Linked DNA regions of Sus scrofa. The protein of the gene in region 2 purifies or fractionates together with the protein of the main gene of each other region. This does not show direct contact. Links are inferred from orthologs where the notes say so. Each region holds a gene or a part of one and is shown on either strand. Other genes may lie near its edges. The genes, in order: CRY2, SKP1 and FBXO33.

The links.
Region 1: the proteins of SKP1 (region 2) and CRY2 purify together in Homo sapiens (co-immunoprecipitation; 3 studies listed by BioGRID and IntAct, with this or other methods). This does not show direct contact. The link is inferred for Sus scrofa from reciprocal best matches to the Homo sapiens genes SKP1 and CRY2.
Region 3: the proteins of SKP1 (region 2) and FBXO33 purify together in Homo sapiens (affinity purification with mass spectrometry; 5 studies listed by BioGRID and IntAct, with this or other methods). This does not show direct contact. The link is inferred for Sus scrofa from reciprocal best matches to the Homo sapiens genes SKP1 and FBXO33.

What each region holds. Positions count from the first base shown.
Region 1 is NC_010444.4:16,616,411-16,623,539, forward strand, and holds the start of CRY2 (cryptochrome-2), read right to left. Parts: upstream 3,971-7,129; 5' UTR 3,912-3,970; coding exon 3,694-3,911; intron 1-3,693. UniProt on the Homo sapiens protein: Transcriptional repressor which forms a core component of the circadian clock.
Region 2 is NC_010444.4:136,471,290-136,478,418, reverse strand, and holds the start of SKP1 (S-phase kinase-associated protein 1), read left to right. Parts: upstream 1-2,054; 5' UTR 2,055-2,510; intron 2,511-5,231; coding exon 5,232-5,328; intron 5,329-7,129. UniProt on the Homo sapiens protein: Essential component of the SCF (SKP1-CUL1-F-box protein) ubiquitin ligase complex, which mediates the ubiquitination of proteins involved in cell cycle progression, signal transduction and transcription.
Region 3 is NC_010443.5:169,911,831-169,918,959, forward strand, and holds the start of FBXO33 (F-box only protein 33), read right to left. Parts: upstream 4,027-7,129; 5' UTR 3,770-4,026; coding exon 3,162-3,769; intron 1-3,161. UniProt on the Homo sapiens protein: Substrate recognition component of a SCF (SKP1-CUL1-F-box protein) E3 ubiquitin-protein ligase complex which mediates the ubiquitination and subsequent proteasomal degradation of target proteins. Probably recognizes and binds to phosphorylated target proteins.

The DNA.
Region 1 (7,129 bases), about 120 Mb from region 2:
CTCCCTGCCAGAAGACCATAGCTCTCAACCCGCTTCGTGGTGACCGAGTTTCAGCAAGAACAGCCCAACAGTGTTTAGCTCCCAGCGCTGGGAGGAGAGACACACTTCTTCTCACCAGGCGTCATGGGGAGTCCCCAGGTCACCTTACTTATTAATCCTGAGAGATCTGGGCTGATACGTTCTTTCTACCAACTCCCTCTGTCCCAGAAGCTCCTGAACACGGGTGCAGCCCAGAGCTAGGGAGAAAAGGGCGAAGTGAATCGTTGCCGACAATATCTAGGTTGCAGCAGGGAGAGAAAGGTAATGAAAAACTGCAAGGGATTATTTTGGGTAGCCCTTTTTAAATCTAGAAGTAGCTCGAAACCCCCTCCCCTCTTTTCCATTTTTTTGTTCTCACTGCAATACTTCCTTTCAGATGCAGTAAATTTTGGGAGGGTAGAGCTGGGGAAAATGGCAAAGGGATTAGCTAACTAGCACTTGACCAAAAAAAGTCCTGAGGTTCCTATCACTACGATTAGCTTATAAAGTTCCCACTACCACCAACGCAAGGAGTATGCTAGCCCTTCTCCTATGCTAATACACATACATATTCTTGGTCGCCTTTCTCTGTCCACTTTTACTCTTAGAAAGTGCCATTCATGGTTATTTTAATCTGATTCATCTGCTGAAAAACGCTGTGTGGGAGTCAGTACAGGAAATGAGGAGGATAACAGAGATACAGATTCTGATTCCCCCCACCCTTCCAGATGGCCCAGGGCCCACTCTTCTGAGGGAGGCTTCTCAGAGGCAGCAACTGAAGTATTTGCAGAGCTAGGACGTTACGCTGCAGCACAATTCTCCTAGATCACTTCCAGATCCAGAAACAGGAAGACTGCACATATCGTAGTTAACCCAGAGGTAGAGCTGGCTCCATCACTCCTACCAACCCCCAACCGAGTGCATTAAACAGTCTGCAAATCTGGAGGAGCTCCCATCGTGGTGCAGCAGAAATGAATACAACTAGGAATCATGAGGTTGTGGGTTTGATCCCCGGCCTCGATCAGTGGGTTAAGGATCTGGCGTTGCTGTGGCTGTGGCGTAGGCTGGTAGCAACAGCTCCAATTCGACCCCTAGTCTGGGAACCTCCATATGCCTAGGGTGCAGCTCTAAAAATAAACAGTCTGCAGGTATGCCCTCACTCTGATTCTGAGAGCAAAGAGTATAGAGGCGGTGGTAGGTGTGTGTCTGTGCCCAGGCCCAGGAGCATTTATTGTATTCAATCTGCTTTGTGTTATTTCACCTCTTTCTTCTGATACCAAAACCAATCAGACTTCCTGCCAATGCACTGCAACACATATCCCAAGTTGCCGGACTCTGTGGTCCACTTCTCTGGCTTTGCTGCACATGACAGCTTTAAAGACCCTAGTACCCAAGTCAATGAAATCAGAATTGGGAGAGAAGTGGGCCCAGCCATCTTTTAAAGATACTTAAATGATTCTCACGCGTGGCAAGGTTGACACCCATTGCTACAGTCTGTCCCCGATTTTATTTATTTCACAGCACTTAGTTCTACCAAGTTATAGCTGTTTGCTTGTCTTCCTACATGAAAATGTAAGCTCCAGGAGCTCTGGACACATCTGCTTGTTCCCTGCTGTGCTCCTAGCAGCCCCTAGAGTAGTGCCTGGCAGATATTAGGTGCTCATTAAACGCTCAATTAACATCTGCATTCCTACACAGCCTCTGACTTCAGGATTTGATATAGGCATCTGAGCTGCCACATTCTTTTTCTTTTACTCACTCAACAGCACAATTACAAAAGGGTGACCCACAAAAATCTCTAAATACCTAGTTTCTAGAGAATCTGAGTTTAATAAGCAACAGAGGTTTTGTTGTTGGTTTTTTTTTTTTTGTCTTTTTAGGGCCACGCTTGCGGCATTTGGAGGTTCCCAGGCTAGGGGTCAAATAGGAGCTGTAACTGCCAGCCTAAGCCATAGCCACAGCAATGCCAGATCCGAGCCGCATCTGTGACCTACACCACAGCTGACGGCAATGCTGGATCCTCAACCCACTGAGCGAAGCCAGGGATCCTTAACCACCGAGCCACAATGGGACCACCTGTTGTTGATTTTTAATCTCCACTACTGCAAAGGAACAGGCAATTTTATGCCACATTCCTCAAATCCCATAAAAGAAGAAACTCCTTGACAATGTAACAAACAAGTAGTCTGGAGTCTAATTACTCTGCTCTGACTGGCACACTGCCATCAGGAGAGGGGCAAAGTCTGAGGCTTAGTCCAAGCTAAGTCCACACTAGGGATGGCTGGTCATTTGAGGATGTTTGTCAGCCCAACCTCCTATCTAGAGAAACTGGAGCAAGGGCCGAGTAATAGAGCAGACTGAAAACTGTGTGGGCAGGCTCTCCACAGAACTATCTTTAGCTGTTCCCTCCATATAAATGGGGCAGGAGGGGGGCATTTAATAGACCCACTGCTAGAAGCACTCACTCTCCTAGCAGGGCACACACCTTGGAGAGGAAAGAATGGGGAGCCAGCGTATCCTGGGAATAACTCTGCCCCTCAGTGCAACAAGGCCACAAGCAAACACCTCCAGAACAATGCAAACAAACTAGAGGACGACTGCCAGACTTGTTAAAGAGAGACGGGTACACAATGTCTCAGAACACCTTTGTTTTAAACACTGGTTATGGAGAAAACACATCAACTACCTGTTAAACTTTTCCCATGATCCTGGGAGTCATCAAAGAGGGCCCCTTGGTATCACAGCTTGCCTGCTCCCAAATCTTAGCACATCAGCTGACAAGAGTCTAATCTACAGGCTCAACTGTCCTTTAAAATCAATCTCAAGAGAAGAGGAGGAAGTAAGGGACTCTTTGTTTCTTTTTCTTCTTCCTCCCCCCTCCTGCTTTTTTCCTTAGCAAGCCCATAGCTGCTGAGGGAATTCTCCAAAATAGGTTAAGTACTGCTGTCTGCTCTCTAGCCCAGGACACAGAGTGCCTCTCAATGAACGTGCCCTTGAGAGCATGTTCTTTTATTTACAATAAAGGAGCAAAGGCACCTGCCCTACCTAATGCTAAGTCAGAGTCTCTAGACACCTCCAGAGACTGGATGATCTTGGTGGAAGGAAGACAGGATAGGTGAAAAAATGAATTCACACAAACCAGAGGCTTAAGCTTAAGACGACCTTCAGGAGCGCTCTTGAAGAATGCAGGTGTCTGCCGTGCTATTTCAGAAACCTGTCCCGGCCCTCATACCGCAATAGCTCCCGTCCTCCCCTCCCTGAGCACAACCCTAAGAACCCTAGACCAGGAGTCCCTGTTCTGCCACTCGCCGGCTGCAAGTCCTTGGGCAGGTCAACTTTGTATCTCTAAGACTCCAGAGTCTCATCGGTACAATGAGGATCATGATTTTTGTTTCACGGGGACGTCGTGAGGACCAAAAGGGATAACACAGTGAGAACGCGCCGTGCCAGAGGTTGAGCCCTGGCCCACCCAAGCCCTAACTATGGGACTAATTGCTACCCACGTCGCGGCTTCTCCCCACTGGAGACTCAGCTGCGCCTCCCTGCCCCATCTCTTTCAGGTCGGGGGCTTTCAGCAGAGGGGACTGGGGCCAGAGCCTCCCCCCTCTTAGGGTACGTGCCTCAGAGGCTAGACTGCGCTCCCCGGACCCGCAAACCCGCCCGGGGCCCCCTCACCTCCACCGGTTGATCCCGACTGAAGAGGAGGCCGCGAACCAAGGGTCGAGGATGTAAACACAGCGCACGCAGTGCGCCCCGCGAACCGCCGCCAGCAGCGCCGGGTTGTCGTGGAGCCGCAGCCCCTTGCGGAACCAGTGCACCGAAGAGGCGCCTTCCGCGCCGGCAGCGGGAGCCGGGGAGGACGCCGCAGCGGTCGCCACAGCCGCCGCCATCATTGCCTGGACTGCTCTGACTGCGGCCGCTCCGCCCCCGTCGGCGCCGCGAGCCCGGCCCCCAGCTGGCCCAGTGACCTATGACGCGCCGCTACTCTTTGGAGCCCCGCCCTCAGGCCCTGGAGCGCCTCTGCTATTGGCTGGGCGCCTCCTGCCGGGCGATTGGTTAGAGGCACCATGTCTGGCCCCGCCTCCTCACGTTCCCACCATGTGTGGGCCCTGCCGGGAGGAGCCGGAGGGCTGGGCTAGTGACGCAGGCTGGCGGTCCCCAAGGAGGTCTGGGCGTGGACCAAGTCCGAGGAACGGCGGAGCTCAGCTTCCTTTTTTAGGGCCTGGCGCTGGAAGCTGTGTGGGCTGGCGAGGGTTGCTGTGACTCCAGCAAATGACTTAAAAGGACAGACCACCGGCTGTCCTACATCATCTTCGTCATCAATATAATCATCTACCACACTCTATACATACATCATTACAGCATTCTAATACAGCTTCCATTAGATGCCAACCAACGTGATAATACCCTTACGCTGCTGTCTCCTTTACTGCTGTAAACTCAGACGAGTTGCATTCTTTCAACAAACCCTAGTGAAAGAGCTGTTTTCATTTTACCGACAAAGAAAACCGAGGCTGCTGCAGGTTGAGTAACATGCTCAATATCATACAGCTAATACTTCTACCAGGATTATTCAGAATCTGAAGTTTCTGCTTTTATCCACAATACTACACCTCTGTCAGCGTTGAGCAACTTGGCATTTACAAGTAGTAGAGTCCAAAGTGTGGGCCCTGATGTGCTGCAGTAGAGGGGTTGGGATTAGGGACTGGAATTGTGGAGAATGTGGGTTGAGATTGTAATTAGGTCATCATTGGAATTCCCAGTTTGTGGCTCAGCGGTAATGAACCCGACTAGTATCCAAGAGGATGAGGGTTTGATCCCTGGGCTTGCTCAGTGGGTTAAGATCTGGTGTTGCTGTGAACTGTGATGTAGGCTGCAGACGCGGCTCAGATCCTGAGTTGCTGTGGCTAGCAGTAGATCCGATTCAGCTCCTAGCCTGGGAACCTCCAAACTCTGCAGATATGCTCTAAAAAGCAAGAGGGAAAAAAAAAAGCCATCACATGAATTTTTCTTTTAGTTCTGTCATAGACTTAGGGGTAACTCTGAGTGTAAAGGACTGAACTGGAGTCTGTGTGGGGTTCAGAGATGTGGAGGATATTCCCCACGCGTCCCCAAGAGAGCCAGGTGGAGCCCTCTTCTGGAGTCGAGCACAGGGCTTGCTGATTGACTGAATGAGTGAATGATAGGAGAAGCCTGTAAACACCCCCACTGATGTGTTGATGGTGGGCTAAGCTAGCCTGGAGCTTTGGCATTATCAAATGGAGAGGCCGTCTCAATTTGGCTCTAGGTGGCACCCTTCCTGAATTTGGGAATGAGCAATGAAGGAAGTTAGCAATTTAATCCGCAAGTGAGTGGCACTAATTGGCACAACTGTCTAAACCACAGTGTTGTTACAATCCTAGGCGCTCTCATTGCCAGGGCTTTGCACAAACTGTTCCCTCCAACCTGGATCACACCCTGAACACCCCCCCCACACACCTTCTAACTTCAGTTTGTCCTATGTCACTGCTCAGTGTAGATGTCACTTGCTGTCTGCTCCCAGCCTTCATAGTGCCCCATCTCATTCTGTGCTTCTTAATTTCTTAAAATTATTTTTGTTTATACGGAAGTTCCCAGGCCAGGGGTCAAACCCACGCCACAGCAATAACCAGAGCCACACCAGTGACGCCAGATCTTACCCGCTCAGCCACCAGGGAACTGCTTCTTATTAACACTGACCTTAATGTATGGTAGTGGAATTTCTTATCTGTCTGTCTGCCTCATTAGATTAAAACACCCTGGAGGGCTAGGACTGTGGCTTGTCTACAGCTGTATTTCCAGGGTCTAGCTCAGTGCTTGACCCTTAATGTTCAAGGATCATTTGGGTAAAAATTGAACAGGGGCTAGAATCTCAGGTTGGCAGGAACTTTAATGGCCTATCTCAGTCCTGATCCTGTTCTTAGTTTTGAATACTCTCTCCAAAAGAAACCCAAACACCTCTGACTGGAATCCAGCCTAAACCCAGATTGGAACTTGAACCCACTTTTTCAAAAAAAATTAGAACCACTGACCTGGTATCTAGACTTAGTGAGACTCAGGTTCTTTGTGCCTCAGTGCAGAAGGATTTCTGTGAGACAAATGGATAGGTAAGAAATAGCTTTATTGAGATAGGACACTTGTGAGGGATACAAGTGGGCAGGTGAGGAGGCTCAGCCCCGAGGATTAGATGGGCTATATTTTTATAATCCAAGGAAAGTGGAGGGAGAGGGGAAATGCGCTTCTTCCTCATTCTTCAGGTAGACGTCAGGCTTACGTCATAGCTCCTCCTTCCTATTGGGTAAGAGAGTGTTTGACCCTATGAGGTCACACGAGGACTTTCATGGTGCTGATTTTTCTTCACATCAGCAGAAGGGTGGTAACAGATGCTAAAATATGTTGAATCATCTCTGGTTTCTGCATAATGAGGGTCTCCTGCTTTGAAATCTCATCTTTCCCTTAAATTCCTGTCCTTGGTCCTACGGATCATGAGCTTGCTGAACTTGAACGCGGACCTCATTTTATCTTTCACTTAATGACTGGAGCCATATCACATATTTGTATGTATGGTTTTGGAGCCATATCACATGTTTGTATGTATGTTTTATCGTGAAGCAAGCCTGCTTTGTTCCATGGTGTTCTGACGGCTTTCTTGAGCGATGATTAACTAACAGTGGTCTCCCAAAGTCCCCTAGGTTTCCCTCTCTATCTGCGGTCCCCTATGGGACTTCGACAACTACCTGTGTAACTAGCCTACTCCATCCCTATCACTGGGAATGGAACAGAGAGTGGAAGGAGATGGTTCTTCCTTACAACCTCAAAGATGCATATTCTCTTTTTCTTCTCTGAATGCCCATGATGCTTTCTCTATAGACCTTGAACTCCATGAGGGCAGAGACTGTGTTTATCTTGCTCATCAGTGTATTCCCAGCCCCTAGTTTGGTACCTGACATGTAGTAGATGCTTAATAAATATTTGCTGAATGGTTGTCATTTATCTCTTTCTATCTTATTAGGCTATTTTGAGCGGCAGTGTGGTATAATGATTAAGCCTAAGGTCTTGCATATTTGGAGTGGCTGTGTTCAAAGTCTGGTCC
Region 2 (7,129 bases):
GTGTATCTTTCCTGAGATAATCTATGCATGTAACAGCTGTATGAGTAAATGAAAACTGCATTTTCTTCCTTTTTTTGAAATCTGCATTTTATTTATTTATTTATTTATTTATTTATTGTCTTTTTGCCATTTCTTGGGCCACACCCACGGCATATGGAGGTTCCCAGGCTAGGGGTCAAATCGGAACTGTAGCTGCTGGCCTACGCCAGAGCCACAGCAACGCAGGATCGGAGCCGCGTCTGCAACCTACACCACAGCTCACGGCAACGCCGGATCCTTAATCCACTGAGCAAGGCCAGGGATAAAACCCGCAACCTCATGGTTTCTAGTCGGATTTGTTAACCACCAAGCCACGACGGGAACTCCTGAAATCTGCATTTTAAAAACTAGAATCCTGGCAGTTCCCGTTGTGGCTCAGCAGGTTAAGAGCATGACTAGTATCCATGAGGATGCCCGTTTGATCCCTGGTCTCACTCAGTGGGTTAAGGATTCAGCACTGCAGCAAGTTGCAGCATAGGTTGCAGACGCAGCTCTGATCCAATACTTCTGTGGCTGTGCCGAAGGCCTCAGCTGTATCTCATATTCAACCCCTAGCCTGGGAACTTCCATATGCTGCAGGTGTAGCCATTAAAAGAAAAAGCAGCCAAAAAAAGCCACCCAAGAATATCTCGGTGATTCTAATATTAGGGGCCCCCAGACATTTTGGAAAAAACATACACCTTCCTAATGCCAGGCCCTGTGCCAGATCCTCCAGCTAGACGTGTAATCTGGCACTGCCCAGTCCTGCTTAGGATGCTCAACTAGGCTACAAGGTGGCCCTTATATGCCACAGGCAGGGGAGCAAAGGGGATCTAGTGGGCCTTAACTAAGAGACCAGAAGCTGGAGCTGCTTAGGGCAGGGCAGGCTTGTGGAGAAAAAGTCTGAGAGCTGTAGGTCCTTTCATCTTCCCGACATCAGCTGTGGCACCTGGCAGACACTGGATACCACAGCTTGGAGACAAAGACCTGGTAACCCAAGGAGCTGCTTGGTCTCCCTGCCCAGTCCCATCTCAGAAGAGCTGCAGGCTTCTGATTTCTTTAGGGGGCCCTGTGTGGAAGTGTCCTTTGTCTCCTTGGCGTCAGGAATACCATCACGTGCCTGCTGGTTAGGTGAGCCTGGCGCCTTAGTCTCCTCCAGAGGGGTGGCATTGTTCTCTAAACAGAGCAGGGTAGAGCAGGTCAAAGTCCCTGACTGGAGAGGGTGGGAGTGGGAATTTGCAGACTAACCCCTTTCCCTTGAGGGTTGGTTTCATCTTAGGGACCCTAACACAGCCTTTAGGGAGCATCCCACACAAGGGCTCTCTGCAGGCTGGACTCTGGCTGCCTCGTTCGCTGCCGAATTCCTAGCACCCATCACCTCGCCCTCCCCCCACCCAATACACTTTTGCTAACTTGGGGTTTCCCTGAAACAGTGGTTACTTTGGATTGGAGGCCTCTTCAGAAGTCGATAGGAAATCAGAGTTGAGAGTATCAAACAATCCTTGCTCTGCCACTGAACCGTTTTGAACCTGTTCCCTCACAAGTCAAAGAGAAAAGGGTAATGGTATTTCTTCTTCTTTTTTTTTTTTTGTCTTTTTGTCTTTCTAGGGCCGCACCCAAGGCATACGGAGGTTCCCTGGCTAGGGGTCGAATCGGAGCTGTAGCCACCGGCCTACACCAGAGCCACAACGTGGGATCCGAGTCGCGACTGTGACCTACACCACAGCTCATGGCCACTCCAAATCCTTAACCCACTGAGCGAGGCCAGGGATCGAACCCGAAACCTCATGGTTTCTAGTCGGATTCGTTAACCACTGAGCCACGAGGGGAACTCCTGATATTTCTTCTTATGCATTATTGTGGAGAGTGAGCTAACTCATGTAGGGTTCAGGGGAGGACACTGAGGCCCTGAGCAAAATCTCACAGCGCTGGCTGCAAAGATCAGCGCCCTTTCTTTCTCAGAGTCCCAGTTTCCCCATCATGAAAAGGAGCTGCAGCCCCTCCCAAACACCACCCCTAACACAGACGCCTCTCCCTCCCCACTCCGCCCCTCTCTCCCCGCTACTCCCCGCGCTCTCCCTCCCGGCCCCTCGCTCCAGGTTTCTAGGCTTTTCGGGACTGGGGTCTTTAATTCGACTTAGGCCAGCTCCCGCCTGAAAGACCCTTGCAGGCCGTGGAGTATCTGAGCCAGTCCCCCGTTTCCGCTTTGAGGGGAGTGAGCGCCGCTTTCGAGGGAAGGGGTGAGACTCAAGGCCCGCCGCGCCTCGCCCCGCCGGTCTGCGCCTGCCGTCAGGCGATCTCGGCGGCCAGCCCTGCCGTCTCTGTGACGTCACGGGCCCCGGGGTCCTCGGCGCCTGCGCCCGCTGCTATAAAGGCGACGCCGCGCCACTCGGTTGAAGTCGCCTTGTGCGTCGCTTTTCTGTCTCTCCGGTTGCGGACACCGCCCTTCTCTCGTCAGCCTCCGGCCCGCCATCTCCTTGAGCCCAAACACCGTGAGTACCCGCCGCCTGAGCTGAAAGGGGGCGGTGGCGCCGCAGATTGCGAGCCGCGGGCCGCCCCGCTGCGGCTTTGGCCTTGCTCGAAACGGCAGGCACCTGGGCCTGGCCTTCCCTCAGGCCCGGTGAAAGCCGTCGTCGACCCCATTCTCCCGGAGGTGCCATTCACCTCCCACACCGCCCCTCGACTTGCCGAGGCCTCTTTTAGCCGCTAGTCTTCACCGCGCCCAGGCGGGCGGGAGGGAGAAGGTGTGAGCGGAACCGGGATTGGGCCTTCTCTGCGCGGGGCGACCCTCAGCCGTCGCGGAGCAAGGCTGCAGGCCCAGGCTGCGGCCGGGGCCTCCCTCGGCGGTTGAGCCCATCGGCCCCGGGAAGCCAGGGCGAGGGTGGTGGCGGGGCTTTTAATGGACTTCTCTGGGTCGTCGTGAGCATGGGCGTTTGTCCGTTTGTTGTTCGGGTGTCCCAGAGGAAGCGTGGTAGGGTCGTCCCGCAGCTGGATTCTTGGCTCTCAGTCTTTCTCGCCCCTGTGTCTGGCGTCACTCGTCCTGGTTAACTGCGCCGGAGCCGAATTTCGGCAGAGAGCTGCCTGCTCCTTCGGAATATTTGTCGCCCATTATTTTGCCACAGCCCGCGGTTGTTGAAGCAATTGTTGGAGTAGCAGGTGCCATCGCCACAGTGGTTTGGCTTTTAGGTGCACCAACTCCGTAAACTTACTAAGAGGTTTTCGAAGGGATAGGATGTTCACCTGCTTTGGTTTGCTTTTTAATGGAGACTAAAGGTTGGAGTTTGGGCTCATGAATGTTTTCATGAGAGCGTCACAGCAGAATGTTTGTGTGTCATAGAGCAACGCAGATTTCACTTTGCCCTATAAGAAGAAGTGTCAGAACTTCGGGTCACTTAAACAGGTTTTTTTTCTTTTATGATGTTTGATAGACCCCTCCTCCTGGAGGGTGATTTAACTCAAAAGTGCCGGCGCATACGGAATTGAAGGAATGGTCTGGAGAACATACCACATCAAAGTTTCATGGATAATTATAGAAAAGTTTTGCTCTGATTTCCAGCTGTATAACGCTAAAAAAAATTTTTTTTTGAGTATTAAGTTTAGCTTACAAAGTGCATCGAATTACAGATTAACCGATTGTTTCCCTGCTATTTATTTAGTAAGATCTCAGTTAAGAGTAACCTAATACACGAATTTGACTGTGACTAAGCAGATATGGCTGTTTATCAAAAGTTATTTGAAATATGAAATGTTCGTCTTGCTTAAAAGTAATTTTATCAACTGCATTTCCAGACTTGTGATTTTATAACGTTCACTCCAGTGTTGTGGAACAGTCATAGAGCATAGAATGTTTTGTAATTTAAAATTGAGCTCATGTTAAAGTATTTCTTTAGGGGGATATCTTTTGCTTTTGCCTTGTCGCAAGGAAGGTCCTCTGCTCTGGGCGTTTCTTCATGGAGCAGGACAACTGCATTATTGGCAGGCACTGAGTAATATGGAGAAGCAGACATTTGTGAACTGAAAAGTGAAATCTGATTCTCTGCAACCATGGATGAGTGTGAGCTGGATATTTCAATGGCTGGTTTTAAAACAGCTTTACCTTTTTGCTTCCTTGCCCTAACACCTTTGTCTCTTTGGGGAATGGAGACAGTTGTGTGGGAAAAGCTGAATATTGTAACCGATTTAACGGGTCCTAAGTGTTGGGGCCTAAAATAGGTGCAGTCAGTGTTTTGAATGCCAAATTCTGTATTTTTAAGTTAGAGTGATATCAGAGTATTATTACGAACATCTCAGATGCACGGGCCTTTTAAAAACCTGTTACAGAAACTTAAAGAGATCTTGAGTTTTTACAGTCAGGTGTTGCTGCCGCCCACCCCCCATGCCTCTCCCCCAAGAATCTGAAGACGGTAAGAAATTGCTGGCTTAGAAGCTTAGAACTTTTAATTCTAAAGAGGTTTTGTTTTGTTTTTGCCAAAACTCAAGTCCTTTGAAGTTAAATGCTTAATTAACTTTTATGTAAGAAGTGTCTTTTTCCTAATGACTCATAATCAGTGTGAGTTAATAAATTCATTTTGGCGGCAAGTAAAAGGCTGTTATTACTATGAGGATTTTGGCATTCGATCTCAAACTTGGGACGCCTAGACAGTCAGTAAAGAAAGATAAACAGGACTCTGAAACTATAGGTTTAGGGCATTAGGTCAACATCTGCTTATCCTTAGATATTTCATTCTCTTCTCTATGGCCTTGCTTTCATCCAAACATAAGTAAGTATATTCTAATCTACTCTTTAGATCTGAACTCACTTTTTACTGATAAGTTTCACTGTGGGAAAATTAATATCTTATTTGGTAGCTTTGTTTATTTTGGACTGACCTCCCTCAGGTGAAAGGAGAAAGGCAGGCAAAGAGTAAAAAAGCATTTTAGATATATTTTGCATTAGAAATATAAGTGTGAGTTTTAAAATTTATACCAGTAATGAGTGCAGAAGGGTAGGCCTTAAAAGTTTCTGTTCCTAGGAGTTATATATACTTTTGAAAAAATTTTATAGAAATACTTGTATAAAATTGCCTTATAATCATTTACAGTGTTTTATACTATACTACAGGTCGTTAAGATTTTGTAGTTAATAAGTTAGAAGGCTTAGACATTTAATGGTGAAATGCAGTGTAGAAGTAATATCTCTTAAATTTCAAATTCAATATAATACCTTTTTTTAGATGCCTTCAATTAAGTTGCAGAGTTCCGATGGCGAGATATTTGAAGTTGATGTTGAAATTGCCAAACAGTCTGTGACTATCAAGACCATGTTGGAAGGTAAGTTAATTAGAAAACCTGGGTCACGGTAAAGGGAAGAAATATGTAGCTTAAGATAACCTGTGAACATCGAATCTATAGACATAAAAATCCATCATAAAATGCTGAAGAGTATGAAGGGTAAAATTTGTGTCTTTTTTTCTTCCAAAGTTTAACTGCATTTTTCTGATACAAGTCTTTTTTTTTTTTCTACATTGTCTGAATTTCTTTTATTAAGTAGGTAACACCGTAAGCTAACATTGAAATGGTTTTCAAGCCTCAGATAGTGGCTCATTTCTCTTTCAAGTAGGTTTGGATTCACAATTTCTAATGACACAAACTAAAGCCTTTGGAAAAGAGATACCTTACATATGATAGCTAAGTAGAGCAGCACTTTGTTTAAGCAGAGGGAGTAAGCTGAGTAGATTGTAAACTGAGTAGATGTCTTTTTTCCCTTTTGGCTATTCTTTTGAAACTGCTGCAAAACATATATGCAGTACATCAAAGAATTAAGGCAAGAAAATAGGTCCTGAAACATTTTAAACTTTTACTAGTTAACATAGATTTCCTAGAATTATTGTAGGCTGGTAAACATTGATGGTATATAGAGACACACAAATCACTTTCTAGAATTGGAGGAAAAAAACTTAATAGTTATTGGGGGAGTTTCCCTCATGGCTCAGCGGAAATGAATCTGACTAGTATCCACAAAGATGCGGGTTTGATCCCTGGCCTTGCTCAGTGGGTTAAGGATCTCATATTGCTGTGGCTGTGGTGTAGGCCAGCAGCTGTAGCTCTGATTTGACCCCTGGCTTGGGCACCTCCAAATGCTGTGGGTCTAAAAAAACTCAAAAAAAAAAAGTTCTTCGGTACTGTTGTCTCCATATCTGCATAGGATTGGTTCCGGGATACAAAATCCGTGGGTATTCAAATCCCTGATCCCAAATACTACATCCCAAATGCCATATTTGCAAATAATCTCCATAATCCTCCCTTATACTTGAATTTATCTCTGGATTACTTATACCTCATAAGACTCTAAATGCTGGAGTTCCCGTCGTGGCTCAGTGGTTAACAATCCGACTAGGAACCATGAGGTTGCGAATTCGGTCCCTTCCCTCGCTCAGTGGGTTAACGGTCCGGCGTTGCCGTGAACTGTGGTGTAGGTTGCAGACGCGACTCGGATCCCGTGTTGCTGTGGCTCTGGCGTAGGCCAGCAGCTACAGCTCTAATTGGACCCCTAGCCTGGGAACCTCCATATGCCGCGGGAGTGGCCCAAGAAATGGCAAAAAGACAGAAAAAAAAAAGATTGTAAATGCTATGTAAATAGTTGCCTGTGTGTGTGGAAAATTCAGGTTTTGCTTTTTCTAACTTTCTGTAATTTTTTAAGTTTTTTTTTTCTTGCTTTTTAGGGCTGCACCCGCCGGCATAAGGAGGTTTCCAGGCTAGGGGTCCAATAGGAGCTGTAGCTGCTGGCCTACACCACAGCCACAGCCACGCCAGAACAGAGCTGCATCTGTGACCTACACCACAGCTCATGGCAACGACGGATTCTCCCACTGATCGAGGCCAGGGATCGAACCCGCAACCTCATGGTTCCTAGTCAGATTTGTTTCCACTGCAACATGAGAACTCCAAATTTAAGTTTTTTTAAAAAATTATTTATTTTGGATGATCTGTGACATGTGGAAGTTCCTGGGCCAGGGATCGAATCTAAGTCACAGCTGCAGCAACGCTATATCCTTAACCCACTGTCTCAGTGGGAACTCCTAATTTTTATTTAATACTTTCTATCCATGGTTATTTGAATCTGAGAATGCAG
Region 3 (7,129 bases), on a different chromosome or scaffold from region 2:
ATGTCTAAAGAATTTTTAATCTATTTTAAGATGTCTTTTCAAATTGCCTTATCGGTTGTTGCTTCTCGGTAGACCGATGTTCAGAAAATACAAAGGTGAGATTCTTTCACTACCAGCGCCAAATCAGCAGATCAAATCTAAGAATTATTAACATGCCTCCTACTACTTAGAGGGTGTTTAAGTAGGCACAGTCATAAAACTGGTCAATCTACATACACAGAATTTTAACAAGAAAATCACTCTGATACAAAATAGCTCTGCCCTGCATCTTTTTAAAAAAGTACTGCTCTCAATTTAGCATTTTACCTCAAAAAACAAAATATTTATATAGTCCAGGAAAGCATAAACCAAATGACGACAATGTTACTTATGTCTACTGTTTAACTATTTTTAATGACTGAGTCTATTAGCTCTTATTGTAAATCTAATTGTCCATGAACTCTCGTTTTTCTTAAGGAGTCTAATATATGGCATTTTAATAGGCAGCACTCAACTTGACAACTAGGTTAAATCCTAAAAATGCATATATAAATTTGTTGTTTCTGAACTTCTAAGTACAATTTCTTCTAGAACCATTATAGAAGAAATTCAGCCAATTTAACCTATAATACAATTGATTGAGTACTTATTGTATTTCTGTTCTCACTGTTGGTCAGGAAGGTAAATATCCTAGAAACCTGTAGAGAAGGGAGATCAGAAGCTAGAGGACTGTATTTTACCCTCTGAGAGGCATTTCTGTATCTCTTTGATACTCATTGGTTCTTCCTAACACCTGAAATAAAGTGGCTATAGCCACTCTCAGAGTACAAGTGCATATGAAACCCAGGAATCAAGCAAAATAAAATGTCAATTATCCTCTCCGAACAGTATCCTTGAAAAGGTCCCATGATTCAAGGTTATGGTTTTAGTTCTTTCCCTCAGAGACATGAAAATAACTGGAACACAACATAATAACGCTCTGAACTGTATGAATTATTTAAAGGAATTCAACACAAAGCCTCGAAGCCTAAAGCTTGTGACTTGGTAGGTTTCATATCCCCCCTTTCAACTTATAAAATGGTAAAAATCAAAAATCAAAAAAAAAAAAACAAACCACTGTAAATTTAGCTTAGAAATGTAAAGAACAATATTAAATGTTGATTTCTCTTATTAAACAACTTGGTTTAAAACATTTTCAAATTTGTTTAAAGAAAACCAGTTTCATTTATGTTTTTAACATCCACATTAATACTTCCAGCATTACTAGACACTCTCAAGACATTTTCAAAAATAAAGCTGAGATTAACTTATTTCTAAGCATATAAAGATTATTTATATGGCAGCCTTACAGAAAAGTAGATCGGGATGCTAATAAAAAAATGGGCACACTTTTATTTGCAAATTAAACCTCAATTACAGCTGAAAAAAAGTGGTAGGGGTGAGGAGGGGGAGGAGAGAAGAGTTAAACAACAAAGCCAAGATGTTAGATACCACTATTTTGCCTGCATAACCTCATCCATCCAATCAACCAGTTATTAAAACACTTAAAAGGAACATGCACTTTGAAAGGCGTGTTCTTACTTGGACAAAAGGCACACATTTTTAAGATGATTGCTTGGAACTATCTGATCTCAAAAAATCTAATTGATACTTGCTGAATTCATCCTCCCTGGACACCCTCCTCAGCAGTAACTGCTCACTGAATCAATCTCTCTAACTTCTGGGTCATTTGGGCCTCTAGCCATCACTCAGCTCTGACAAAGAGTCTCCAACCTGATCAAGACCAATTTATAGCCTTAAACAGCCTCTCTTGCCACATAAAATGAAAGTAAGGAAAATAATGGCTTGATGTGAAAAGCTGGGAAAATACACAGCCCACTGGAATGATGAAGCCATGCTCCAGATACAGTCTGGAGCCATATGCTTATCTCCTACCCTTCTGAATCAGAAACATAATTAAGAATATGTGTATATATATATATCTCACTTAGCATTAAACCCGGACCTTAGTTCCATCCTGTTCAACATAATGTAACTACCGCGAAAGAAAGACCACTGCTTAGAGAAAAACAATGCTGTATACAATGTGTACATCATTTGACAAATTGACCCTGTTATGCATCAGTTTCTTTTCTATAAAATAGGGATAATAATAGCTATCCTGACTAACTCACAGGGTCATTGAAAGGAGCAAATAAGATAGTGAATGTGAAAGTACTCACAAACTACTAAATTATTATTATGTAAGTTGCTCCTTCTTAGAACTTTTGAATTTTCTTCTAACTCATACTTTAATTATAAAGTTAGAATACCCAGATACAGAACATCTAAATTAACAGTATTTTGGAGACGGTGATAGACAAATAATGGAAAATATTGATTAGGACAATGGGTCAGAACATATCAAGTTAGTCTCAGAATTACAGTAGAATTCTAATGAAAAACTAGGCCGCTAAGGGCTTACTCTTTATAGACACAGGCCAGTTCCCCCAACTCATGCAAACACCAAGCTATATATACTGTGCTACTTTTAGGTGAATAACTAGGGATAAGTTGAGTCTGGAGGTGCAAAGGGGAGGGACTTCCCAATCTTCATTATCAGGCTGTTCCCCAATCCTTTTAACAAACACTCCTACTCTTCATGCCTGGCCTAGTTAATCAAAACTATTCCCAGTAAGAAAATGGCTGTCAAAGATTTTTTGGGGGGGTACAGTCTAGTAACTATGAGAAACCAGTAGCATAGCTAGTCCTTCCCCACCACGAACTATTTTGAATGGATAGATTCAGAACTGAAAAAATCAGGTAGGATTTTGTTTCTCCCAAGACTCACTCACAGGCCTCACCCTCCAAGCTTCAGCTCTCATCTGTAAAATGAACTCCATCCCATTGCCAACGAAAGTACGAATGAGACAGGGCTTGGAAGGTGCCAGGAATGCTGTCTGATAAACACCAAATCCATCACTGTTTATAAAGTATTACGATAATCCCGTTATGCCCTCCCGCCTCAAGGAAATCGCTGGATTAAAACTGAAACCCCTAATCACTGAAAAAAGCAACGCTGAAGCGGGCCGGGAGTATCCGCACAGAATCTATTTTGAGGTGAGAGGAAGAAGGCCATCCTGCTCCCCGGGAGAGGAGGAAGCGGGAGAAGAGGATGAATGCAGGGTCCACGACGAGCCTACCTGTTGTTCCGGATGCTGACCAGCACGCACAGCACCAGCTCTAAGTAGGTGCGCAACACTTCTAGCCAACGGGATGAGAGCTGCAGGGCTTCGACTTCTTCCCCGCCAGTCCCGGTGTCGGCGCTGCCTCCATCGCCCGGGCCGCCGCCGCCGCTCAGGTAATTCTCCGCGGCGAACTCAACGCGCAGCTCTCGCACGAACCAGCCGCACTTGCGCATGAGGAATTCGAGCCGTGGCTGCTCCGCAGGCGAGACGCGGAGGCAGATGCGGAGCTGGGGCCAGAGAGCAGGATAGAAGAGGCACTCGCGCCAGTGCGAGCAGGAGGCCGAGGCCCGTAGCCGGTCGGAGGCGGACAGGAAGGAGAAGATGTGCACGATCAGCTCGCTGGGCAGCGACGCAGCGCCTGCCGCCTGCCCGCACAGAGCCATCCGGCCCCGCCGCCGGCTGCCGGTCCCCGGCCGCCTCCGCAATCCCCGGAGCAGCCCCCGCAGCCGTCGCAGCTGCTGCAGCCGCAGCCGCCGCCGCCGCCACCGCGCCACCCGGGCGGCCCCTGCTCGGGTTCCGGCTCCCGGTGGTCGGGGCTGCGGCACTGACAAGAACAACAACATCAATGACAAGGAAGAAGGGGGCGGAACCGTCGTAGGTCTCGGCGGAACCAAGTACAGCACAAGTTGCGGAGAGGGGGAAAGGCCTCTGCGGGGTTGGCCTCCAGACAGCCAGCCTGTGGCCTCTCAAACTTTACTCACGCGCGTCCGAGGCCTACACACTCAGGAACTTCAAAATCCTTGCTTTTACTGGTTAGGGGCCCGGAAGCGGCAGGACTAATTGTAAGGAAACGGCAGCCCTCCCCGCGCCTGGAGGCGGAGGCAGAGCAGTGGTAGGACCTGAGTTTGACGTCACCAGTGGTGGGAGGAGCCCGGCGTGATCCGGAGCTACTTCCGGAAGAAGGGAGCGCCCGGTTGCCGGTAGGAAAGGGAGACGCGGCACGTGACTCCTGACGCACGCAGGCTGTCGGGACGGGGGTGGGGAAGCGCTGGTGGTGCCGGTGTTGGGCGCCCCCTCCCGTCTCACAGAGACCGCCGAGTCCCGTCTTGTTTGTAAGTCGGTTAACTGGGGCGCTCAGGCAGTGTAAGTGGCGGAACTCGCGTTAGCGTAAGCGGGCGGTGACGCTTCTCATTATACGTTTTCCTGTTGCTGGGCTGAGGACTCAGAGCCAAAGTGCCGGCTTGGGTCTTTTTCAGCCTAACCTCCCCTCCCCCCTCCCCCGCAGAGAATTGTTGGGAGTTTCTGAGAAAAAGCCGCTAAGGCAGCAGGACCGGCGCCCTCGCGGGCTAACCCGAGGGGCTGGGTGAGGAGAGGAGAAGCGCGGGGAGGGGAGGCTGGACACAGGCCGCAAGCGGACCTTCCCTCGTGGTCAGACCTCGGAGTGGACAGTAGCGCACACCTGGGTGCGAGGGGAAGGAGTGAGGACAGCGCCACCCTTTGGATTTTGAGGGAGAAGAGAAAAAAAAAGGGCAAATGGGTTAGATCTGTTGGTTGATAATTAGTCTCTTATCCAGAGATTGAGGGAGACTGAGTTCCAGGTTTGGGGGCTCTAATTGTAAAGAAGTTTGTTGTTATGGTAAAGGTTTTCTTTAGCTCGGCGCCCGGTTTTTGAGGGAGGGATTTTTCGAAAGAGTGTCCTAACTTTATCACAACTCGGGAAGTAGTTAGTTAACTGACTGTAAGGAGCAGTGAAGTCAGAAAGAAATAAGCGATTTTATGTAATAATTGAGGATCGCTTTAATGAGGCTGCCGCTTCAAAGCCTTAACTAGGGTCTTGGAACAGCCGTGTTTATTTGTGGCTAACTCTCAGAAGCTGTTCTCCTGGATATTTTTAGCCCTCTGAGGGCAAAACTCTCCATTCATAATGCTTCCATGCCTTTTGATGCCTAGCACAGGCCCGTTACCAATAATATTGTGTTGGTACCTCAGTTATCTTCATTTCGGTACCTGTGGGGGGGGGGAAGCTATCATTCATGGTAGGTCACTTCTCTGAACCTCTTGTCTGTAAGAGATTTTTCTATGCAGTTATTATTATATCTTATGAATGGATTAATGAGCATTAATGGAAACAGCAGTGAATTAGGAAGTTGAGGCTTGGATTTAAATTTTTTATTTTTTAAAAGCATTCATTTTTTGGGGGGGGGGCTTGTCTTTTTAGGCCCGCACCCGCGGCATATGGAGGTTCCCAGGCTAGGGGTCCAGTTGGAGCTGTAGCTGCCGGCCTACACCACAGCTCACGGCAGCCCTGGATCCTTAACCCACTGAGCGAGGCCAGGGATGGAACCGGCAACCTCATGGTTCCTAGTGGGATTCGTTTCTGCTGCACCTCCATGGGATCTCCATCATTGAAATATTTTGAGTGACCCATGGACATCTAGATTTCCCACTTAATAGTAATTAAGTGTGCATCTCTTTAAAAGCGTATTATTACATAACAAAACTATCACACTTGAAAAACTTCTGTTGTCTAATAACCCATCTTCAAGTTTATCTAGTTATTTTCCAAATGTTTGTTATAGATGTTTTATCCAAACCAAGATCCGGTTGCATAGGCCGGCAGCTACAGCTCCGATTTGACCCCTAGGCTGGAACTTATATATGCCATGGATGCTGCTCTAAAAAGACAACCCCCCCCCCAAAAAAAAGGAAGTTCCCCTTCGAGGCTCAGCAGTAAGGATCCCAACTAATATCCAAATCAGGATCCAAGTAAGGGCCACACTTGTTTTAGTTTGTATTTAAAGCTTCTTTTAATCTAGAATAGTCACCCTCTTCCCAGCACTCATTTTTGGGGTCTCTCTGATTAGTTAATTACAGGAGGCTTATTGTGCTGTAGAATATCTCCCATCTGTAATTGTTTGGCTACTTTCTCTTGGTGTTTAGCTTACTACTCTAGTCCCTGAATTTCTAATAAACCTACATATTAATGTTAAAGGCTTGATTAGGTTGGTGACATCTTGATCTCCCTCCTTATAAAGTTTTGTGTTTTGTTTTTCTCTAAGTAATCTGTGAGATGTTATTTTCTACAAATGTCCAACTCCTCCATCAATGATTCACTTAATAGCCTTAACAATAATTGATAATTCTTGCCTGAATCATAATTTTATTATGAGTTGCAAAATAATAATTTCTAAGTCTTTTGTTCCATTTATATTTATTAATTTTCATTCTTCTGGATAGGAGAAGCTTTCTTTAACAAACTGGCAACATTTAGTTACCCTGAAATACAGCTCCTATTCTCCTATTGAAAAGACAGGAAAAAATGCCTAGTTCTTTTTCTTTTATTACCCATTTTGAAAGTAAGTTCTTTGGCCTCAAAGAGTGATGAATGAGTTTTTCTAGTTTTTATTTTTTCTGAATATCAAATTCTCATGGATTTTTAAAATGTTTTAATTTTCCTTTTTGATCCTTAAATTTTGATACTTCTAGAACACCTCACAAAGAAGTGTATGTGATTAATATTACAATTTTAAAAAATTCCTTGAGCATTTTTAGTAGAGGTAATACTGTACTGAGTGGGAGGGTAAGCTGGATTTTGATCTTTTTTTCTTTTTTGCTTTTGTAGTAATATAGCTGGGTGACATTTAAACACGTTGCTTAACCCTTTGGGGCCTCACTTATCTTCGTCTGTCAAGTAGAGAGTTTTTGCAAGGTTCCCTGCAGCTGATGTTCTCTGACTTTTTAAAAATCTGTTTTATGGAGATACATTTTTCATATGTAATTCGTTTCAAGTATACACATCAACAGTTTAGTAGTTTTATCAAATTTTACAACCATCACTGTAAATAAGTTTTATTTTTTTTATTTTTATCTTTTTGTCTTTTTGCCATTTCTTGGGCCACTCCCGTGGCATACGGAGGTTCCCAGGCTAGGGGTCGAATCGGAGCTGTAGCCACTGGCCTACGCCAGGGCCACAGCAATGTGGG